Linked DNA regions of Caenorhabditis elegans. The protein of the gene in region 4 interacts with the protein of the main gene of each other region in a pairwise test. Each region holds a gene or a part of one and is shown on either strand. Other genes may lie near its edges. The genes, in order: glh-2, glh-3, glh-4 and kgb-1.

Evidence for each region.
Region 1: the proteins of kgb-1 (region 4) and glh-2 interact in a two-hybrid assay, tested with the Caenorhabditis elegans proteins (one study listed by BioGRID).
Region 2: the proteins of kgb-1 (region 4) and glh-3 interact in a two-hybrid assay, tested with the Caenorhabditis elegans proteins (one study listed by BioGRID).
Region 3: the proteins of kgb-1 (region 4) and glh-4 interact in a two-hybrid assay, tested with the Caenorhabditis elegans proteins (one study listed by BioGRID).

The regions. Positions count from the first base shown.
Region 1 is NC_003279.8:6,512,290-6,518,047, reverse strand, and holds glh-2 (ATP-dependent RNA helicase glh-2), read right to left. Parts: upstream 4,121-5,758; 5' UTR 4,028-4,120; coding exon 3,994-4,027; intron 3,948-3,993; coding exon 3,210-3,947; intron 3,167-3,209; coding exon 3,092-3,166; intron 3,047-3,091; coding exon 2,780-3,046; intron 2,737-2,779; coding exon 2,662-2,736; intron 2,618-2,661; coding exon 1,373-2,617; intron 1,327-1,372; coding exon 1,223-1,326; intron 1,177-1,222; coding exon 995-1,176; intron 946-994; coding exon 741-945; 3' UTR 541-740; downstream 1-540. Other genes in the region: che-1 (C2H2-type domain-containing protein), read left to right, coding at 293-473; C55B7.11 (Protein OSCP1), read left to right, coding at 4,400-4,686, 4,730-4,841, 4,890-5,430. UniProt on the Caenorhabditis elegans protein: Probable ATP-binding RNA helicase.
Region 2 is NC_003279.8:5,791,815-5,796,794, reverse strand, and holds glh-3 (ATP-dependent RNA helicase glh-3), read left to right. Parts: upstream 1-1,680; 5' UTR 1,681-1,753; coding exon 1,754-1,838; intron 1,839-1,885; coding exon 1,886-2,239; intron 2,240-2,350; coding exon 2,351-3,583; intron 3,584-3,628; coding exon 3,629-3,732; intron 3,733-3,778; coding exon 3,779-3,960; intron 3,961-4,009; coding exon 4,010-4,214; 3' UTR 4,215-4,474; downstream 4,475-4,980. Other genes in the region: mtk-1 (Protein kinase domain-containing protein), read left to right, coding at 74-197, 245-873, 950-1,105, 1,148-1,231. UniProt on the Caenorhabditis elegans protein: Probable ATP-binding RNA helicase.
Region 3 is NC_003279.8:3,725,496-3,731,717, forward strand, and holds glh-4 (ATP-dependent RNA helicase glh-4), read left to right. Parts: upstream 1-1,531; 5' UTR 1,532-1,565; coding exon 1,566-1,570; intron 1,571-1,618; coding exon 1,619-2,265; intron 2,266-2,342; coding exon 2,343-3,356; intron 3,357-3,402; coding exon 3,403-3,795; intron 3,796-3,842; coding exon 3,843-4,145; intron 4,146-4,190; coding exon 4,191-4,275; intron 4,276-4,321; coding exon 4,322-4,663; intron 4,664-4,711; coding exon 4,712-5,015; intron 5,016-5,064; coding exon 5,065-5,442; 3' UTR 5,443-5,684; downstream 5,685-6,222. Other genes in the region: T12F5.2 (RING-type domain-containing protein), read left to right, coding at 5,876-5,975. UniProt on the Caenorhabditis elegans protein: Probable ATP-binding RNA helicase. May act redundantly with the P-granule component glh-1 to regulate the formation of the granular structure of P-granules in embryos. May protect somatic cells from excessive apoptosis during normal development.
Region 4 is NC_003282.8:405,085-411,824, reverse strand, and holds kgb-1 (GLH-binding kinase 1), read left to right. Parts: upstream 1-1,791; 5' UTR 1,792-1,868; intron 1,869-1,952; exon of another isoform or gene 1,953-2,063; intron 2,064-2,928; 5' UTR 2,929-2,938; coding exon 2,939-3,004; intron 3,005-3,047; coding exon 3,048-3,139; intron 3,140-3,789; coding exon 3,790-3,919; intron 3,920-3,962; coding exon 3,963-4,078; intron 4,079-4,786; coding exon 4,787-4,871; intron 4,872-4,920; coding exon 4,921-5,092; intron 5,093-5,261; coding exon 5,262-5,522; intron 5,523-5,568; coding exon 5,569-5,675; intron 5,676-5,733; coding exon 5,734-5,877; 3' UTR 5,878-6,204; downstream 6,205-6,740. UniProt on the Caenorhabditis elegans protein: Mitogen-activated protein kinase which is an essential component of the JNK pathway composed of mlk-1, mek-1 and kgb-1.

The DNA.
Region 1 (5,758 bases), on a different chromosome or scaffold from region 4:
ATGTGCTTGGTTTTCTGCATCAAATATAACAAATGCCTAAAGTTTGGCACCTGTAGCGACCATTATGACTGAGATCGTGGCGAGACACACTCGGAAAAACCGCATTTGTCTTTAAAGTGAAGTGTCAAAATTTTGGAGAATTTACGATATTTGTGATATCCTCCAATTTCTTATAATAATGTCAATAACGGCAAATAAAAAATATATAAATTGCAGGTTACCATAAGAAAAAAAATTACATTTTTTCTCGAATAGTAGAAACATATTGCAAGACTATTTTTCATTATTTCAGAACACACACTGGAGAGAGACCGTATCCATGTGCTCAATGTGAGAAGGCATTCACCGACAGCTCAACTCTTACAAAACATCTGAGAACCCATACTGGACATAAACCTTATGTTTGCTCAATTTGTATGATGAAATTCACACAGAGTGGGAACTTGCATAGGCACATGAAAACTCATAAATAGTTTTTCCTATTATGGAAGTAATGTTTCTAAATGAATATTGCCATTTTCTGCAAAATATTTTACAATCCACAAGTCTCGAACAAATTTAATCAATGTCTTGTTTTGATACAATTTAACAAATTCACTGTGGAGAGGATTTACTATAAAAACGTTTTACACCAGCAAAAAATCAATAGAACATTTACATGATAAGGAGAATATATAAAAAGGGGGCATTATAATTTACTGATACAATATGGACAACATTTGAAGGATATGCAGATACATCTACCAGCAATCTTCATCTTGCTTTTGAGTTGGAACGCTGCTTTCGAATCCAAAACTAGCTCCGAAATTTCCCCCTGAAGCTCCTTGCATCCACTCTGGAACCAGTTGATCCGCGTCAGAGAGAACGCGAACAAGTTCGGACAGAAGATTACAATCTTCAGAGATGAAACTGGTGGCTCTTCCAGCGTTTCCAACTCGACCCGTTCTAAAAAAAACATGGCTAGCACATGAACATTAGAAATATCTGATTTAACCTTCCAATACGATGAATGTAGTCATCAATGTTGTCTGGCATGTCATAGTTGATGACATGATCCACTCCTTTGATATCAAGTCCACGTTCGGCAACCGCAGTAGCAATAAGAACAGGTTTCGATCCATTTCGGAATTGTCTCAAAGCCTCTGAACGCTCTCTCTGCTCACGGGCACCGTGGATCTAAATTGGAAAACAAAATTAATAATGGTTAAACTATTGTACCAACCGTGATTGCTGGTACTTGAGCCGATGATAAAATGGAGGCCAACGTATCAGCCATTGCTCTTTGCGAGACAAAAACGATAGTCTTCTTAGTGTACACTTCAGAATCTGAAAATTGGGATATATATAAACGATAAAAAAAACAGAATCACACTTTTTTCTGTCGTGTAACTGTCGATATCAATTCCTAGAATTTCCAGAAGTTTGTCCTTCTTTTCGCTTCTATCGCACTTTTCAAACTCCTGAAGGACGCACTTGTTGGCGGCCCCAATTTTGTCGATTGCAAGCATTATGTAGCCTTCCTTCAGATGATTTCGAGCTGCTTCCTGTACAGAATCGGGGAAAGTAGCACTGAACATGAGTGTCTGACGATTTTCTTTCTTCGGCATGCTCTCATAATTGACAATTGTATCGATGTCAGTTCCGAATCCCATAGCATCGATCATACGATCAGCCTCGTCAAGAACAAAGAAGCGGCATTTGTCAAGCTTGATGGTACCCTCTTCACAGAAGTGCTTGATTCTTCCGACAGTTCCGACAATGATCGTGGCTCCTTTTTCGATCTGACCCTTATTATAACCCACTGCCAATCCTCCGTAAACTGGTCTGATCTCCATCATTGTTTGATAAGCAAACTTTCTTCCCTCGTTGTAAATTTGATCAGTGAGTTCACGAGTCGGAGTCAGGATGATGCAACGGGGATAGCAACCTCCTTCTCCGGCAGTGTTCAGATCATTTTCATCAATCAGACGAGCCATGATTGGCAGAAGGAATGCAGCGGTTTTTCCTGAACCAGTTTGAGCACAAGCCATGATATCATGTCCTTGATGAATAAGTGGAAGAGTATATTGTTGAATTGGAGTGGTCTTAGTGTAGCCTGCATGTGCGACATTCTTCTTCATTGTTTCGCCCAGATTAGCTTCGGAGAACGTCTTACAAGTCTTAACTCCAACGGGTTTTTTATCAGACGTGATTTTAACTTCAGCATCAAAAAACTTGTTGAACATGAGACCTTCCGAAATTTTCTGCATGTTAAAAACTTCTTCCATGTTGTCTTCGACTGGAACGTATGTCGCCTTCGGTCCTTCTCCTTCAGCACCTTCCCTTGGCTTGGCTGGATTGGGACACTCATTCGAGCGATGACCTTGCTCGCCACAATTGAAACATCCACGTGGTGGCTCCGGACATTCTGCAGAGCGATGCCCCTCGCCTTTACAGTTGAAGCATTTCATCGGACCACGTTCCTCGTTATTACCGAAGCCTTCAGCATTTCCGCCACCGAATCCACCATCATTTCCTCCTCCGAAACCAGAGGTGAATCCATTGCGGCCTTCACGCGGTTTCCGCTCTTCCGGACAATCGCGAGAGTTGTGACCGGGCTGTTGACAATTGTAGCACACTAAAAATGAAAAATTACGTCTAAAAATTATTTTAAACTAAAACCTCTGGGTTCCCTTTCCTTTTTCGGCTCTGGACAGTCATTCGATCGATGTCCTGGCTGCTGACAATTGAAACAATCTATAAGCAACGTGAAGAGATAGATTTCAAGCAGCAAACATACTATTATTCCTTTCGCCTCGATCTTGTCCCCCACCGCCGCTTCCGAATCCATTCGAGTTACCACCAAAACCTCCCGAACCGAAGCCAGATTCACCATTGTTACCACTACCAAATCCGTTAGTTAATCCACTGTCGAATCCAGTTCCACCACCATTTCCTCCTCCGAAACCAGAGCTTCCACCGGTGAATCCATTTCGGCCTTCACGCGGTTTCCGCTCTTCTGGACAATCGCGAGAGTTGTGACCAGGCTGCTGGCAATTGTAACACACTAAAAATAAAACAGATTACGTCTAAAAACATTTTAAGCTAAAACCTCTGGGTTCCCTTTCCTTTTTCGGCTCTGGACAGTCATTCGATCGATGTCCTGGCTGCTGGCAATTGAAACAATCTAAAAGCAACGTGAAGATATAGATTTCAAGTAGCAAACATACTATTATTCCTTTCGCCTCGATCTTGTCCCCCACCACCACTTCCGAATCCATTCGAGTTACCTCCTGAACCGAAGCCACTTCCACCAGAGTTGCCTCCACCGAAACCTCCTGATTTTCCTCCACCAAACCCAGATTCATGATTGTTGCCACTACCAAATCCATTGGTCAATCCGCTACCAAAACCAGATCCACTGTTGCTATTACCGCCAAATCCAGTTCCACCAGCTTTTCCACTGCCGAATCCAGTTCCACCAGCTTTTCCACTGCCGAATCCAGTTCCACCAGCATTTCCACTGCCGAATCCAGTTCCACCAGCATTTCCACTGCCGAATCCAGTTCCACCAGCATTTCCACTGCCCAATCCAGTTCCACCAGCATTTCCACTGCCGAATCCAGTTCCACCAGCATTTCCACCGCCGAATCCAGTTCCACCAGCATTTCCGCTGCCGAACCCAGTTCCACCAGCATTTCCACTGCCGAATCCAGTTCCACCAGCATTTCCACTGCCGAATCCAGTTCCACCAGCATTTCCACTGCCGAATCCAGTTCCACCAGCATTTCCATTGCCGAATCTGGGTCCAACGTTGTTATTACCGCCGAATCCAGATCCACCATTGTTGCTACTACCAAATCCCGTCCCGCCTGCATTTCCACTTCCAAAACCACCAGTGTTACCGCTACCGAATCCCGATCCTCCGCCAAACCCTGATGGATTGCTTCCAAAACTGATGGTTTTCGCTACAATAAATCAGCATTAAATATTTCATTAAAATTTTATAAAAACCTGCAGCAGTATTATTATCCCAATCGTCAGACATCTTCGAACTTCCAGGAAAAAGTACAAGTTTGGCGTTTGCAAACCAAAAAATTTTAAATGAATGGAAACTCAGAAACTCGCGCGCAAAAGATTTGAAATTTGCCGCGCGGGAGTACTGTAGAGGACGAACGTGGCGAGACCCTTGTCCTATGCTGCTCGTATGAGCCTTTTAAAAACTCAATTTGGGATTTTCTGAATACAATTTCAGTATCCTTGCATCGCACTTTTTGCCATACCAGTAATACTTTGTGGAACCTTCAGAATTTTTCTTTCTGAAAATAGTTTCCCTAATTAATCTGGAGACCTTTTTAAACTTAAACGTTCGTTTATCTTTTGGCATATTTAATTTACAATTTAATTAATTTTTTCAGAAATGAATATTAGTGTACTGGACGCAATTCATGCTCTCAACGAACTTTCAATGCAAGACTATTTGCCTCGTCCGCGAGGAGGAGGAGTTCTTCTCAGCCACATAACTCAGTATTATCAAAGCAAGGATGGAATCGAACCCCTCGCGAAAAAAATTATCGAGTCACTGAGAAGCCATACAATGAAGGACGACGATATGGCACACATTTCATGCCAATCAATGATTGCAATGGTCGCAGAACCGTTGCCTATGGAAGAAAAATCATGGATTATTCAACTTCTGATTCAATGGTAATAACTCTGAATTTGGCCAAATTTAAACAATATTCTTAAGGGTTCATATCACGAATACTGCCAACGACGTTTTAGCTTGTATTCTTCAATCCCTTCGGTCATTCAACGTTCATTTTAACGAAGTATACGCGATTCGGACGGCGATTTTCAACGTAAATTTGTTTGAACATCAAATTTTGCCTTCAATTAAAAAATTGCAGTATGTCACACAACCAGAGCTTAACACTGAAACGTTGATTGAGATCTTACCGGACGGAAAACTCATTCTGAACCCACGTGACGCTTCAAAGTATGCTGAAAAACCTTGCGATGAACATATTTTCATTCTCAAACAGCTTCAAAAACTGGTTTCATACAAGAAATTCACGTACTTCACGGCTCTGATACAATATGATTTTGCTCGCTGTAACTCTGAAACTCGCTGCAGCCAGATTTCTAGACCAATATCAAACTACAAGTCTTCTGGATTTGATATGGAAAATCAAAGTTTATTCTCTGTTGGTTTTGGAAAGTATTCCTTCTCGGATGGTGTTTCTCCTGCTGAGGATTTGATGACTAACGAGCATAATTCGGCATTGGAAATGTATCAAAGTAGTATGAAAGCCCTTGAAAATTTCAAGTGCAATGAAAAATTGGTTGGAAAACAATGGGTAGTAACAACGATTGAAGAAGATAGTGATGATGAAGTCGATGAGGAAGAACAATGGAACCTCTCAGCTACCGAAGCAACATCCGATTCTGGTCAGTTTATTTTAAAAATTTTCATAAGATTGAAATAGATTATATCGATCAAACTTTATATTTTTAGGGTATCATGAAAAATGAACAATTTTCGATTGTTCGATTTTCCTGAAAAATAAAAAAATTTAGAAAGTTAACAAAGAAAAATCAGTTTCAAAAAATTATTGTTTTGTTGATGGGAAAAATCATAAGAAAACATAATTTTCTTCTAAAAAGAAGATAAACTCTAAAAATGAAATATTTTTCGAAATATCGGAAAAGCGAAAAAATTTCGATTTTCCTGAAAAACGAAAAATCGGAAAATTTTTTAAGAAAATGTTTAATAATC
Region 2 (4,980 bases), on a different chromosome or scaffold from region 4:
GGAGTTTTATTCTTGGAATGAAGTCCGCTAGTTTTGCTACTTGCATGGTTATTCTAAACTTTTATTTTTTCAGGATTACGACAACCTGCAAATCGGGAAAGTTATTACAGACGATAACAGAAGAAACTTTGTTCTTGCCACAGACAAAAAGATTACTACAAAAGCTCCATTTCAATGGGCACTTCTTGATCATATTGGTAGATTTAACTCTATTTTATTTGATGATCAAATGATCATTTTTCAGCATCTGGAAGCTTTGGTTCTGTACATCGTGCAATGGATATTGATTCTCATCGTGTCATTGCAGCAAAAGTCATGCGAATTCAACGCGAAAACCATAAAGCAATCGAATCGGAAATCAACATTTTCCGTCAATTAATTCATGAGAATCTTGTCAAATATTATGGTGTTCAAGTTGAAGACAGTGACGTCATCATATTCATGGAATATTGCTCACAGGGTACACTTGAACGAATTTGTCACGGAAAAATGGATTTGAAAATGGTTCGACAATATACGAATAGCTTGTTGCGGGCTGTACAGTATCTTCACTCTCATAAAATCATTCATCGTGATATAAAGCCAGCGAACATATTCCTCGATAAGTGTACCGTACTCAAATTAGGAGATTTCGGATGTTCTTCGCGACTTGTCGAGTCAAGTACAGTATACGGAGAGTTTCAAACAACTGCCGGAACTCCTCAATTCATGGCACCAGAAATTTATTCATATGGGGAAAAGGATGAAACAACTGGAAGCTATAGTGGTTACGGTAGAAGTGTTGACATTTGGGCACTTGGAGCTACCGTAGTCAATATGATGACTGGAAAAGTTCCATTCGAAGGACAAACTCGTCATCAAATAGCCTTCGCGGTATGTTTATTCTAGACACATGTAGATAGTTGAGTCTAAAGATAATAATTGTTGCCATCAATAAGTAAACTTTCAGCTTTGCTTCCGCAAGCAAAAACCAACTTATCCTGATATTGCCGACAAAAGACCAGATGTTAAACGATTCTTCGATAATTGCTTTGAATTTCTTCCAAATGATCGGCCTACAGCTGCGGAACTTCTTCAAACTACGTTTGCAAATGTTAATATAACGGTAATTATCAAGAATAAATAGAAAAATTAGTAAATTTGCAAGTTTCAGGACGAAAATCATATCCCGGACTATCAATCACAATCTTCAAAGGACAAATCGTCACCAAGCTCGTTTTTTCTAGTCTAGACGTTTTTGTATACTGTATTTTTTGTTAATAATAAAAATAATCTACCCGTAATCTCATCTTCGTGATAAAAATGTACCTCTACCTAACTGAAATTCACTTTGTATTTTTGTATTAAAGTTAATAAGAATAATTTAAATTGCCAATAAATACTCATTTTACAAATATTTCCAACGACAACAGGAGGTTTAGTTTGTTAGATTTGAATCGACATAAGACCAAAATTTCTGAATGTGAAAAGAGCCGGCTACTGTAAAATATGTTATGTGCAATTTTTCGTCAATCGTGCTGTTCTCTGTGCAACCCCGGAACAAATTTGAAATTTCATTCTTTTAAACAATTTTGCAAATCTTAAGTGTTTATTTTTATTTGGTGTTTAAAAACTAATTTATATGCTTATTTATCGTTTCTTGGAAACAAAACAACTTTACGCGCAAAATATTCTTTGCAGGTAAACGAAATCTTCCGATACTGGCTGGGGGATTAACTCTGGTTGTCAAAATAGAGTTAAACGGCACGGAATAATGGATAAAAGCCCAACAAAGACAAGTATCCGGACCAAATTCGCTAGACACCAGCCAATTTCTGATGTAGATACTACAGAACAATGTAGGTTTTCTGAATATCACTACCAATTCCCAACATTTATTTTTCAGCGAGTTCATGCATTAAAAAAGATGATCGAGGTCTCAGCAGTTTTGGAGTTCAATCATCAGTATTTTCTCGTCGTAGCTGTAGGATGTCTGAACTCGAAGCGAAACCAACAATAATTTCCGAAGATCAACGTATAGCCGTGCGCAGCGAGATTGGGGGCTCTTTTTCTGGCTTCGATGACAAAGTTGATAATGTTTTCCACTCAAATAATAATTTGCATGGATCACCATCTACAACGGAATTGGAATGTCCTGGGATAATGAATCCGAGATTTCTCGTGGGCAGATCTCTAAATTCTAGATCACGAGCAGTAACTCGTGGAAGCAAGAGAACCTCGAATGTCAAAGAAAATGAAGGTAAGTTTGGCAGGAATTTACTATCTGGTAAAAGTGTGGTCTTTGTATGAAGAATTATTTGAAATTAAGTACCGAATACAGATAATAGACAATTTCTCAAACTTTTTTCAGGGAGCATCCACCGTTCTGATGATCAAGTATCAACTGAAAACTGTTCGGCAAAAGATGAGGAACGTGACAGAGATTCCGGTGGTGTTTCAAGCTATGGAAACAAAAGAAGCGATGAATTCTGCGGTACCTCTCCAATCCTTGAAGCAAAAGGTTTTGGAATCAGCAATACATGTTTCAATTGCAAGAAGTATGGACATCGTGCAACAGAATGCTCCGCCCCACAACGTGAATGTGCTAATTGTGGTGATCCGAATCATCGTGCAAATGAGTGCGCAAGCTGGTCGAAAAACGGAGTTCAAGAGCCGACAAAGGTCACCTATGTGCCAGTCGTGGACAAGATGGAGGAGGTATTTAGCATGTTGAAGATTAACGCTGGAGATTTCTTTGACAAGTTCTTTGACGCTAGCGTTCAACTTGTGTCACGTGGACAGCCGGTCACCATTCAACCATGTAAAAGTTTTTCCGATTCCGATATTCCTCAAAGTATGAGAAGAAACGTGGAGAGAGCAGGTTATACCCGAACAACTCCGATTCAACAATATACACTTCCACTTGTTGCTGATGGCAAAGATATCCTTGCTTGTGCTCAGACTGGATCGGGCAAAACTGCAGCATTTCTTTTGCCGATTATGTCTCGTCTAATTTTGGAAAAGGATTTGAATTATGGAGCAGAAGGAGGTTGCTATCCACGATGCATTATTCTTACACCAACTCGAGAGCTTGCTGATCAAATTTACAACGAGGGCAGAAAGTTTTCCTATCAATCTGTTATGGAAATCAAACCAGTCTATGGCGGAATAAATGTAGGATACAATAAGAGCCAGATTATGAAAGGATGTACTATCATTGTTGGAACAATTGGACGTGTTAAACATTTTTGTGAAGATGGCGCTATAAAACTCGATAAGTGTCGATACCTGGTCCTAGATGAAGCAGATCGAATGATTGATTCAATGGGATTCGGACCAGAAATTGAGCAAATTATCAACTATAAGAATATGCCCAAAAATGATAAACGACAAACAATGATGTTCAGTGCCACATTTCCCAGCAGCGTCCAAGAAGCTGCTCGTAAATTGTTGCGTGAAGACTACACAATGATTACAATCGATAAAATTGGAGCCGCCAACAAATGTGTCATTCAAGAGTTCGAGTTGTGCGATAGAACATCAAAAGTGGATAAGCTTTTGAAGCTTCTCGGTATCGATATTGACACCTACACCACCGAGAAAAGTTTGTTTTACTTTCACTTTTCAATATCGTCATATATGTTTTTAGATTCTGATGTCTTTGTGAAGAAAACGATTGTATTCGTTGCTCAACAAAAAATGGCAGACACTCTGGCCAGTATCATGTCGGCAGCCCAAGTTCCAGCGATTACAGTTCGTTTGTATATTAGTAGTGTATTTCCATTCTTCTTTTTTATAGATTCACGGTGCTCGCGAGCAAAAAGAACGGTCGGCTGCTTTGAAATTGTTCCGAAGTGGAGCTAAGCCAGTGCTCATCGCCACGGCTGTTGTTGAGCGTGGTCTTGACATTAAAGGTGTAGATCATGTTATTAACTACGACATGCCAAATAACATTGATGATTATATCCATCGAATTGGCCGGTTGGTTATTTCCTGAAATGTTTTATTTTTTGTAATTACCGTTTTTCAGAACTGGACGAGTCGGAAACTCGGGAAGAGCAACTAGCTTCATATCATTGGCAGACGATGTTCAAATTCTGCCGCAGTTGGTGCGAACTCTAGCTGACGCCGAACAAGTTGTGCCAAGCTGGATGAAGGAAGCTGCAGGAGGGACCTCCAATCCTAATAAATTCGAAAAATCTATTGATACCGAGGAACCGGAGGAAGCTTGGTGAAGCAATGTATTCTAAATTTAATTTCTGCAAAATATCAATCTTGACGTATTATTTTTCTGATAATGTTCAGCCCCCTTTTATTCCCCAAAATATCTGATCGTCTTGGCATTTCAACTTTAAATTTCCCGAATTTTTAAAATATATTTTTTGTTGTTAGGTTTATATGTTCATTTTTGTTTTCAATAGTTGGAATGTTTATAAATTCAGATCAGTATTCAATCAATGTCTCGTAAATCTGATAAATTTTTGTTTTAATTAAAGCTTTCAAAATCTTTTCAGATGGACTCACTATCAGTTTTTTTTAACTTCTCAGTTGTCTTGGCACGATGCCCACTCGATAATAACTGGTCATCTGTTTATTCGTGACTCATAAATTTGATAATAGTGAACGCTGAGAACGTGTTTTTTAATGAATTTTAATATTTAAATTCAATCAATTCAAATAATTAAATCTCATTCATCTTATAATATTAAAATCTTATGTATATAAAAATTAAATTAAGTCAATTTGAATTTTACGAAAGAATTACTGTAGCACATGTTCTGTGTAACATCGCGTCGTTCATCATGTTTTGTGTGCATACACTAAGCAAATTCAAATTTCAAAATGCTTTAATTTCGAAAATCCCAAAATTTTAAAATCAGTTTTTAGAAATGTTTTGTCAGTTTTTTATTCTGTCCGTGTTGTTTTAGGGAAAATTCTTTCTTCCAATTTGAGTTTGAAAATGTTTTCGTTAAAAACAAGTTTGAAGAACCTGTAGTTAAT
Region 3 (6,222 bases), on a different chromosome or scaffold from region 4:
TTTTTAATTTTTAAATAATTTTTTTGACAGTCAGAAAAGTGGCAATTACTCAGTTTTTGCCACTTTTTTTTTGAATTTGTCGATCAAAAAAATTGTTCTTCTTTTGAATTTTATGGCCCACTCATTTTTTTTTAGATATTAATTATCATAGCCACTTTTTGAAGAAAAAAATCGCTATCGTTTTTTCAAAAAGTCACAAAAACGCAGAAATTGCCACTTTTTGACTGTTAATCAAAATTTTCAGTTTGAATTTTTTGCTAGCTCGACACTAATTTTTGTTCAAATTTTACAGAAATTCTCATATTTTCCAGACTTCTCCCGAACTTCACAACGCACAGAATTTTCTCAAAATCTCCGAAAATTTCTAGTTGTTATGTATACTTTTTTACATTTTCATAATTTTTCCAGCAGTGTTATGAAGTTTGCAGAAAATGAATAGTTCAAAAGTTTTCTACACTTTCCAAACGCGTCTTAACTATTTTCAGTAGCTTTTAGAACTATTCCGACGTTTTCAGAGTTTTCAACCACTACCAACGCCACTGTCCGGAACTAATTGTAAGGAATTAAAGTCTGGAAAAAATGGGTTTGAAAATGACTGAAACCGCTTGATTGTGAACCAAAATTACAAAAAACATCTAGAAAGTGAGCAAAACTATGGGAGCTTTCAGGTAAATTTTTCAAGTACGGAATTCTCTGAAAGCTCTGATCTGTAAATCATTAATTTCAAACAAAAACCGATTATTCCAAAATCATTTCAATTATGCAACTCGAACGGATGCATAAAAAAAAGAAAAAAAGCCAACACAGGTGATTCGCCGTTTGTAAAATACTTATGGCCTCCAATATTTTAGATGCATTTTGCAAATCGCGAATTTCTCTGCGGGACCATTAACATTTTAGCAGTATTTTGGTAATCGCGACTCTCGGTGATCGCAATTTGCACAATATTTGCGATTTTGCAAGTATTTTACTATATCGCTGGTGCCTCTCGTAGAAGCGCGCGAACTACATTTCATAAGTAATTTAAAAACCGCGAATCACCTGTGAACTCCCGCCAACCGCCACGCCGTGACCTTCCCACCGCTACATTTACAACATCATGAACACGTGAAATGCACCGCCCAACTTGTAACCAGTTCTGAATTTTTTTTGCTTGTTTTTTTTTTCAAAAAAGTTCGAATTGTCGATTTTCTCAGGAGTTTCATGAATTTTAGTAAAATTCTGTGCCTGAAAGTTTCTGGATTACCGTAAATTATCGTAGTTTGATGTGCAAGCAGATACAATATCTCCTACCGTATCCATTTTCATTTTGGTCTTCTGGCGCGAAATTTTGATTATCATTTTATTTTAGGCCTTTGACTGAAACTCTTGTTTTTTTGCAATTTTATATTTGAAATTCAGCGATTTTTTATCATTATTAAGAAAAAAAATAGTTTTGAGATGCATTTTCAACTTTTCTCGTTGAAACGACAACTTATCCTCTAAACTCGTGCTATTTTTCTGTTCGTTCTGCAAAAATTTTGATTTTCAGGTATAATCAAACACGACTCTGTATCGTATCAACGATGAGGTATCCATTTAACAAACTAGATCATTTGCAAATTCTTATTTTTTTTAGTTTTTCCGATGACGGATGGGGCGCGGAGGCCGAAGTGAAAGTCGCGGAAGATGTTCCGGAAAAGAACGTTCCGCCGCCAGTGGAACCACCAAGAGCTCCCCAAAGTACTGCTATCAAGACGGAGCCGGAAAGAAACTCCGATGAGCCATCAGCTGGATTTGGAATTGATCCGATTACCACTAGCAAGACTTTCGGAAGTCAAACAACACCAAAAACTGAATTCGGTGGAGCACCATCGTTGTCTGGGTTCGGTGGAAACGCTGCTGCTGCTGCTGCAAACAAGACTTCGTTCGACCAGCAAGGTAACGGATTTGGTGGAGCAGCGAAACATGGATTCGGTGGAGTCGGAGGAGCGCCGTCTTCATTTGGTGCTAACGTTATTCCTGTCAACAAGCCATCTCTCGGGCATAAAACAACTGGATTTGGCGGAGAACCGAAACATGTGTCTGGTGGAGCGTTCTCGTCTGCAAATAATTTTGATCAACAAGATAAAGGATTCGGCGGGGCAGCAAGTTCAGGATTCGGAAACGGATCTATGCTGACAAACCAGAAAGTTGGATTAGAGAATCAAACCACTGGAGTCGGTGCAAGTGAAGTTCCTACGAGCAAGCCGTCTTCTTTCGGACAACAACCAGCAGTGGTTTCAGGTAAGGATATTATGAGAAGTCTTGTTTTTATCATCTCTTTTTTTTAAAGAAATGTCTCTTGACGTTCGTATTTTCAGGATTTGGAGGTGCTGCAAAAATGGGATTCGGTGGATCATCCTCGTCTGGATTCGGTGGTCAGAAAGCGGGCGCCACGGAGAGCTCTGGATTTCCAACCAAAGAAACATCTACATCCCAGCCAGGATTCGGAGGAGATTCCAGTACAGGATTCGGAAGTGGTTTAAAAGCTGGATTCGGTGGTCATGGAGCAGGCGCTGCGGAGAACTCTGGATTACCAACGGAAACAACCGGTTTCGGAGGAAAACTCCCCTCGGCTGGATTTGGAGCTTCTTCATCAAATGAATCTGCTTTTGGCCAACAATCTAAGGGTTTTGGTGGAGCAACGAAAAACGGATTCGGAGGAGATTCCAGTTCATCGTTTGGAAGTGGTTCTAAAGCTGGATTCGGTGGAACATCCTCGTCTGGAATCGGTGGTCAAAAACCGGGCGCCACGGAGAGCTCTGGATTTCCAACCAAAGAAACATCTACATCTGGAGGAACTTTTGGCTCTGGTTTCGGAGGAAAGCCGACCTCGACTGGATTTGGTGCTCCATCAACAACAGATTCTTCTTCCGGTCAACAAACTGCAGGATTTGGTGGCGCATCGAAGCCAGGATTCGGTGGAGATTCCAGTACAGGATTCGGAAGCGGTTTAAAAGCTGGATTCGGTGGTCATAGAGCAAGCACTGCAGAGAACTCGGGATTACCAACGGAAACAACCGGTTTCGGAGGAAAACTCCCCCCGGCTGGATTTGGAGCTTCTTCATCAAATGAATCTGCTTTTGGCCAACAATCTAAGGGATTTGGTGGAGCAACGAAAAACGGATTCGGAGGAGATTCGAGTAACAGTTTTGGAAAGCGAGACTCTGGCTTTGGCGGTCCACAAGATCAAGGATTTGGCGACACTGATGCACCTTCAAAATCCGGCCTTGGAAGCTTCAATACAGGAGGTGGAGCTGTCAAATCAGCTTTCGGAGCCGCTGGCTTTGGTTCCAGTTCAAACTTCGGCAATGGAAACACGTTTGGGGAGCCCAGTCAGTTTTTTTTATCCCATGACTAATCTGAAATCAAATTTTATAGGCGACAATCAGCGTGGCAATTGGGATGGCGGAGAGCGACCAAGAGGATGCCATAATTGCGGCGAAGAAGGTCATATTTCGAAAGAATGTGATAAGCCAAAAGTCCCACGTTTTCCTTGCCGAAATTGTGAGCAACTTGGTCACTTTGCTTCCGACTGTGATCAGCCTAGAGTTCCTCGTGGTCCCTGCCGCAACTGTGGAATAGAAGGTCATTTTGCTGTCGATTGTGATCAACCAAAAGTGCCTCGAGGCCCCTGCCGCAACTGTGGACAAGAAGGCCATTTCGCAAAAGATTGTCAGAACGAGAGAGTGCGCATGGAGCCAACAGAGCCATGTCGTCGTTGCGCTGAAGAAGGCCATTGGGGTTACGAGTGTCCGACCAGACCAAAAGATTGTAAGTTAGCTCGATACCTTATGTATAAAATATATAATTTATTTCAGTGCAAGGAAACTTCCTCGAATCGTATGATTTTGTCTTCACGCCAGACGATAAAATGTTTGAAGATGCAGTCAATAACGATGATAAAATCGACTTCGATCAGAAGGTTGTGGCATCCACTGGAAAGGTTGAAATTCCTGACATGGCATCATTCGATGGTTTCAAAATTCTCCCACAAGACCTCCATGATAACTTGAAGCGCATGAAGATGAACAGACCAACACCGATTCAAAGAGCGTCGTTCTTCCCGATCATGCATGGCAACGATGTTGTTGCATGTGCACACACTGGAAGTGGAAAAACACGTAAGGAAGATATCTTCCGTTCCATTTTTAAAAATTGTATTTCAGTTGCTTTCTTGATACCATTCGTCATCAAGCTGATGGAAGAATTTGAGAAAGATCGAGACGTCACTGATGAGAAACCTTCTCCAAGGTAAGAAATTCCGATGAAAAAATAATCACTGTATCTTTATTTTTAGACTTCTCATTGTTGCTCCCACTCGTGAATTGGTCAACCAAACGTTCACTACTGCTCGCCAGCTGACATATGAAACGGGATTGAAGTGTGGATTGGCCTTCGGAGGCTACTCTCGCAATGCCAACGTGCAACATCTGCGTAGTTTCAGTCAGCTCAACATTTTGGTTGCCACTATGGGAAGACTGCAGGATTTCGTGAATGCCGGAGAAGTATCTCTTTCAAAAATGAAATACATCGTACTGGATGAAGCTGATCGTATGGTCGACAGCAACGACTTTGGAGAGGAAGTGAGCAAGATTATCGGATCGCCGGGGGAGCGTACTCAGCAAACTGTGCTGTTTAGGTATTGGCTAGTATTTTCAAGGAATTTTTCAAAATAAAGTGTTTTCAGTGCATCCTTCTCTGAAGATCTTCAATCCGACGACCTGCCAAAGTTCGTCAAAGAGGGTTACACTATGCTGCAAGTCGACAAGTTCGGAACAGCTAATGAAAAGATCGACCAGAAGATTCTTCCTGTGCCTCGAACCGAGAAACGAGACGCGATTTACAAGCTTCTCGGAATTGATGAAAACACTGTGACTCTCTTGCCGGACGCACCCATCGAGAAACAAAAGACGCTGATCTTCGTGAACTCGGTGAAGTTCTGTGACACTCTTGCGGCTCTCATCTCGAGCGCTGGCGTTAGCACTATTTCGGTAATTAAAATTTAGAATTATATGAGCAAAAACAATTTTTCATTTTCAGATGCATAGCTACCAAAATCAAGAACAGCGTGATCGTACATTGGATGATTTCCGTCGTGGTAAATACCAGTGTATGGTAGCTTCAAATGTGTGTGCTCGTGGATTGAATATTGCCGGGCTCGATCATGTCGTCAACTACGATATGCCGGATAAAAATGGCTTTGATGAGTATGTCAACCGTATCGGACGTACTGGAAGAGCTGGATTCACCGGAACGTCGACTGCATTCGTTGACGTGGAGAACGACACGGACATTATTCCATGCCTCGTCAGTATCTTGAACGAAGCCAAGAAAGAGGTTCCAGAGTGGCTCACCGAAGGAGCTGGACATCAGGAAGAAGGTGGCGACGATTGGAATGAGCAGGAACAGGAGTGGTGAAGCACCTATCACAGTTTTATAATTTAATGTTTAAATGTATTTCGTTGCTCTATGACGATTTTTATTCCTGGTATTTGTTTTGTTAGGCCCCTGCGATTCATTCGCCAATTTTTATAAGCCTGAAGTTACAGTGAATAAGTTTATGTTAATTTCAATGTTTTAGTTATAGTTTTATCATTTTTCTCCCGTTCTTTCAGTAAATATATCTGAACTTTTTTTATTGTAATGAACTATTGACTTTATTAGAAGAGTTTCATTTAATGAATGTTACACAAAATCATAAGACAATTATTTGACTAATGCAATATTGACAGATATGAGTCATAAAATATGAATAAACGCAGAACATTCTCTCGACTCCCAATGTATCAATCATTTTTCTTTTAATTCTATTGAGTTAACAATCTTTTTTAGGCAAAATCCGAAATAAACCATGTCTTTGGTGCCAGCTTCATTCTATCAAAATGTAGATATTATTCGAGATGTGAAGTTTAATATGAAGCCAACGTGTTCGATTTGTATGGAAGAATTCGGTAATTTTTGTTTTCTTCTATCTGAGAATATTTCCCATTTTCAGATGCAAATTCTCATATTCCGAAGGTTCTCATTTGTGGCCACTCGTTTTTGTATAAAAAGATTAGTAAAAAACCAGAAAGAATCAAGGAAAACCACCAAAAATCATGAATTTAAGCCGACGCTGTAAAATCATTCATACAAATAAATCCTGACAAGTACATCGTAAATCGACAAACACCAGAGCCGCGTTCTCTCAATTAAACG
Region 4 (6,740 bases):
TCTTTACAAAATTGTCTCCTTCATCCAAAAATTGGATTCTAGAAGTAAATTTCATAAAAACAGTATTCTATTATTTTTGTTACGAAAATATTTCACAATTCTCGGAAGAAAACGAGATGATTGTGGTTATTGGGTAAGTGTTCAAAGAATATACATAGAAGTTCCAAATTTAAAGGTGGAGTAGCGTCTGTAAGTTTTTTGCCATAAATGACAGAATAGAGACCCAATATACTAAATATAACTGTTAAAAAATGTAGAAAATGTATGAAATTTTTCTAATTTTTTAATGATTTTTTTCTTAATTTTACAAAAATTTAAAAAAAAGGACTGAATTAAATTTGAACTCCCGCGCAAATGAGTGACGTCATTTTCGAAACTTTTGCGTTTTCAGCCTATATTAATAGGTTTTTCTTCATTTTTCCTTTGTTTTATAATTTGAAATACAGTCTGTCAATTTTTCAGACTAAAAGAAAATGTATGATTAATTTTGAATAATTAAGCCAATTTCAGAGTTTCGGTAAGTTTCTTCGCAATTATCAAGTTTGAAAAATGTTTGAAAAATTGAAAAATTATGTTTCAAATTATAAAACTAATTGTAAGAATAAAGAAAAACCAATTAGTTTGGCCGTAAAACACAAAATGTCGAGAATGACGCCATTAATTTGTGCGAGAATTCAAATTTAAATCGGCCTTTTTGAAAAAATCATAAAAAATTTATTATTATTTTTTGATTTTTTAACAGTTATATTTGGTAAATTGGGACTGTATTCTGTCATTTATGGCAAAAAAACCACTACTTCACCTTATAATTTAAAATTATCCAACTCACTATCTCTGTGTTTCATTTTAGCATCGAGTTATCACTTCCGATGACTAACAAATGGGAAATCTAAGGAATAATGCAGAGATTGAAAAGAATTAGAGAAACAAACAGACAAAATCAAGTATTATTTAACAATTGTAAAGAACAACCAAAAAACCCCACAGGAAAGACCACACAGAATGTGGACCCACGACTTTGGGAGATTAGGCACCTACGAGATTTCATGGCCCAAGTTAATTGGGTAGCGCTTTGAGTTGTCATAAATGTTAATAATTGAGAAAAAGATATTTAAAACTTAAAACGTACATATTAAACTTATTTCTTATAGAATTTACTTTCAAAGCTTTTATTATAGGCGGTCGATTTGTTCTACGGCAACTCTATTCTCCAAAACAGAGTGGTGTCTCTTTTCTGTCTGATTCTCTACTTCTCTACACATTTTCAATCCTAGGTGTGTCTCTCTCTGAAGGATGAAATCTCTATTTCTCTGCATCTCCTATTTGGCTTCAGCCTATCGCTTCTCTTCCGCACACAAACATTCACTCAGTGACGTAACTTTTAATACCTACACTATTTCTCTCTTTCGCATTGTCAACTTATATATATATATATGTATATAGATCATTCCTGTACTATTTAATTTTTAATTATAACTTTTTAAAAAGGTTATTTATGATTTAAAAAAAACAAAATCTAAAGTGTCTTTAAAGTGTAAAAGTAAAAATTGGCAGGCTGGGTATACTGCCTTTTTTCTTCAAGTTTTCGAATCTAAGTAAAAATAAAAAATTTCCCCTGCTTTTTTAATACAATTTTAGTTTGAATTTTACTTGTTGAGAATAATAGACTTCAATTATCTCGATGCAGTATTATGTATTTCACTAATAATTAACAGCAAATACCTCAAAATTACCCCGAACTCGAACTATTGCTAGAATAAACCATTCGAGTAACCCGTGTATTTATTGTAGAGTTCGTGAGAAAAGGATTAAAGGATTAAAGGACGATCCGTTCTTCAAGCGCTATGCACTGCGGATCTGGGAGTCAGGTACACTGCCTGGTGGTGATCCCACTAAAAAAGTAATTAGAGTATTATAGAAAAAATACGATCGCCCAAAAATAAACAACGGCGCAACGACACTCCGCTGTTTCTGAGACCCGCCCACGATTTCATTTGCACTGCGGCCGACACATTTCAGTGCAAATGAAATCTTGGGCGGGGTTTAGAAACGGTGGAGTGTCATTGCGTCGTTGTTTATTTTTGTACGATCGTATTTTTTCTATAATAAAGGTTTAAAAAAAAGAAACACACTATTGGATGTTACATTCCAGTCAACTTGATACCTAAAATATTTAAATTTTCCATTGAAATTAGTGTTGACTTTTGTTTCCTAAATACGAACATCCTTTCAAAACCAAGCGCAAAAAGTGTAAGATCATTCACAACTGAAGTCAAATTTTTGAAGTGTGAACATTTTTTGCGTCATGCAAATATGAAATATGAGTTTATGAGTCGATTAAAAAACATAAAAACCCAAACAAAAACGCTGAAATTTCATTAAATGTTAAAAAATGACTTCTTTATTACAAATCCAAAGTTATGATTAAACATTTAAAGATTAGCTGCAAAGATTATTTATTAAACTACATATCTTTCTATTTTTAGTCTATTTTTTAAACATTGTCAGGTTTAGTTTGCACTTCAAAAAATGAAAACTGTATTTCACTAACAATATGTACATATATCCCCTCCCTCATTTTTTTTCACTCCAGAAATGGAAAGTCAATATTTGGAAAGAAAATAATTTTCCAAACTGTTAGAATCTCCGTTTTTAAGATTTATTGATTTCTACGTGGGTTGAAATGACTCAGTTTTGATGAAACTCAACAATTTTAAGGCATTTTTATCAGTTCCGGTTGGAAAGGAAAATCAGAAACATTTTTGCAAGTGATAAGAATTATGAAATTTTTATAGATTTTTTCAAACGTTTATTTGGAAATTGAAATTATACTTTTAAAAATTTAAGAAAAGCTGAAATTTAATGACTAACGTTTATATTTAATTTTTGAATTTTAAGTATTTCTCCCTGAAACTAATAACTTTTTAGGCACAATAAGATGGAAGTGGATCTGCCGGTACATAACGAGTATGATGCGTCTAGATTTCATCAAGTTACAATTAGGGTTTGTTACTAGATACTTTACCTCCATTCAAATTCATTTTCAGGACCCGATAGCCGGCGCGGACAGCACTTTCACTATTCCAACTCGTTATGTAAACCTTAGTTTTCTGAATGCCGGCGCCCAAGGAACTGTCGTGTGAGTTTTTACTAATTACATTAATATTTTATTGAAGGAAAAATAATAGGGCGAATTTTTTAACGCAGTAAACAAAAAATTTCAATAGACAAACAAATATTAACACTTCAAAGATGTTAATCAAAGATTTGATAGATTGCCAAATTTTCGAATAATTTTTACTTTTTCAAACATTTCACACTTTACTGCAAATTATAGCCCCAATAATGTTCAAATACCAAAAGATAAAATAAATTTTTTGAAAGAACTATGAATTTTAGTCATTTTAGAAACATATGGCTGGTTTCAGAGAATCCTTTCTCTGGTCGTACTCCATCTTTGAATGTCTCACTGCCTTTCAATTGTATATTTTTACACTTTAACTTTTCTTCGGTTTTGCGTAATTTCAAACACTGACACAATGATGACTTCCCGAAAAAAAACGGACCGCCCTATCAAAAAACTTTTAAAACAGGTAGAGGTCTCGAGATCATTGTTATTCGTCATTGCCCGCTGCTCCACCTCTAAGATTGAAAAAGCTTGAAAAAATCAATAATCAAGAAGATCTTCTAGAAGAATGAAAGTGACTGAAATTAAATTATCGCGCAAATGACTTCAAACAGAATTTCTAAGTTAAGTGAACAGCCATAATTTTTATTGATTACATTTAGAATGGCCGATGACCTAGTAACAACGCAACGTGTGGCAATCAAGAAGATGCAACAACCATTTGTGATGACAATGAGCGCAAAGCGAGCATATCGAGAGTTTATACTGCTAACGACTATCAAACACCCAAATGTAAGATTCAGTTGGAATCTAGAAAAAATGCTCCAAATTTCAGATAATCCGTCTACTAAACGCGTTTACACCGGACACTTCACTTTCAACGTTCCGAGAAGTATATCTAGTTATGGAATTAATGACACACAATTTGCACGAGGTTATACATCGATTAAGGTAAGAGACATGGTGGCTGATTTTTATGATTTTTTTTCAGTAATACCAATTTTTATAGTAATATCTAGTATACTAGACGTAATTTAAACTGTATATGATGGACTTGTTAGAGACTAATAGACGTAAAATATTATTTTTCTGTTATTGATTTTGAGAACAAAAGAATAAAAATAAAACAATAGGAAAAGCACGATATCTTAAAGAAGGAGTGGCGGATTCATTTTTGCTCTAATAAACTCAGAACGACTCCAAAATATCAACCTTTTTTGTCTCAATTTCACGTTTAATAAACATATTCAACAATAATAATAAGTTTATTGCTGACACTTTTCAACAAAAAAAACTTTTAAAAAAAGAAAGAAACAAGGGCAAAAGCTAGACTTTCAATTTTGCCGTCTTTCGCGTTTCCCAAGGTCGGAAATACATTTTTATCCAACCTTGAGTACCCACTTGGAAATGTGCCGAAACCATCATCAAAACACGCACAGTTAGCTACCAGAACACGCGTAAAAAAATAAAAAAAATATTCCAGCGTGTTTTGAAAATTTTTGGTCAAGATTTTAGTTAACTACCAAAAATCAGAATTTTTAAAAAAGTTTAGAACACTTGCACATTTGAGCTCCTATTCATGATTGTTCAATGATTCAATGATTGAATATTGAATATAAACACATAATTAGATTCTAAAAAAATTTTCTGAATTATTAGATTGGACCATAAAACATTATCATTCTTCGTCTACCAGAGTTTGTGCGCAATCAAGCATCTTCACAATTCGGGAGTCATTCATCGTGTACGTATCTACCACTATAGACAACATTCTGAAAAATTCAAAGTTTCAGGACTTAAAACCATCGAATATTGTCGTCAACGATCGATGTGTATTAAAAGTTTTAGACTTTGGATTGGCCCGGAAGAAGAATGTGGACACATCGATGAGAATGTCAGATTATGTGGTGACAAGATACTACAGAGCCCCCGAAGTTATATTAGGTCTTCCCTATTCGGAAAAAGGTTTGTTCGAAAAAAAAAAAAATTTTTGTAATTTTGGGCTGGACTTCCATCTGCGCTCCGGTGAGCCGCCTCAAACAGCCTCACGCCGTACGTATCCGCATGTAAAGTGCGCGTAAAACCCCAAACGTGTCGGCCGCTTCCAAACAACACTCTCAATTCATAATTGCAGTAGATATTTGGTCAGTCGGATGTATATTTGCTGAAATGATCAACCATACCGTACTTTTCCCTGGAAAAGATCGAATTGATCAATGGACTAAAATTTATAGTGTTTTGGGAACACCAGATGATCATTTCATTAGTCAATTGGGTCAGTCAGCTGCTATGTATGTTCGATCGTTGCCACGTCATCAGGCACGAGCATTCAGTGAAATCGTTCCTGATACCAATTTTCTGCCGGAGACTGAAAATCCAAGGGTCCATTTGACACGTGAGTCAGGCTATACAGGATTTTGAAAAATAAATCATATTTTCAGCACACGTGGCTCGTGATCTCCTGTTCAATATGTTGAAAATCAATCCTGAAGAAAGGTATTCAGTTGAAGATGCACTGAATCATCCATATGTTAAGTTGTGGTTTAAGGTACAACAATTTTAGCACTAAACAAAAACAATCAAATCATGCATCTCAAATCTTACAGGACGATGAGGTAAACGCCCCCGCATCAGAAAATCGATACGATCAGGAAATTGATTTTGCCGATAAGACACTTATTGAATGGAAAGAGCTAATTTTCAACGAAGTGCAACGCTATCAAGCCGACCACGACATTTTCACTGGATAATAAATAATAAAAAACCTAAAATTGTTTCTTTTTCTCTCAAAAATAATTGTGTTACTTTTTTCTTCAAAAATCTATCTTTCAGTTGTGTTCTGTCACTTAGTTGGCCATATTTTCTGGTGATTCTCTGCTTATTTTCTATATTGATTATAATCACTAAATGTTAATTATTTTGGAATACAGATTTTTTGGAACTGTTTTGTTTTAAGTATAAGAAATTGAACCTTAGCTCCACAAAATTTGCATCTCATTATAAAGTAGGGATTGTTTTTCGATTGTATTGTCAGGTTTAAATTCAAAATTCTAAATCAATAAATTAATTTTTTAGGGACCAGGTCCCCTATGAGGTCGCCACAGCGGCGCCCGCGCCGGCCTCACAGCGTCAATCACAGTGCATGTATCCGAATATATAGTGCGGCAGGGAACCCGATCGTGAAGTCCGCGCCTCACTTAGCTGGGAGACCTATAGGTTTTTTTTCTTCAAAACGATGCTTTAATTTTTGTTCTCAAAAACAAAATGAAGCCAAAATGGGAATCCAGAACGACCGGACATTAAATCACACAGATGGACAATGGTGGTCTTGAATAAGTACATTTATTTCACAAAAATTGAACATTCAGTAAAAGATGAGGTTTGAAGACTGAAAAGTGGGCTGGACAACAGAAAATCGACTTTTGGGTAGTAAAAGATTTTTGATATAAAGATGGGAAATAAAGTATATGGACATTTGGACAAAAAGAGAAACAGAGACGCCTTGAAATGTTTTCAAATGATTCTTTTAGTATTCTATTCTAGAATTAAGAAAAGCGGATGGAAAATATTTTTTTGGAATCTTGATATTTTGTAAGTTTGAACTTTTGGGTTT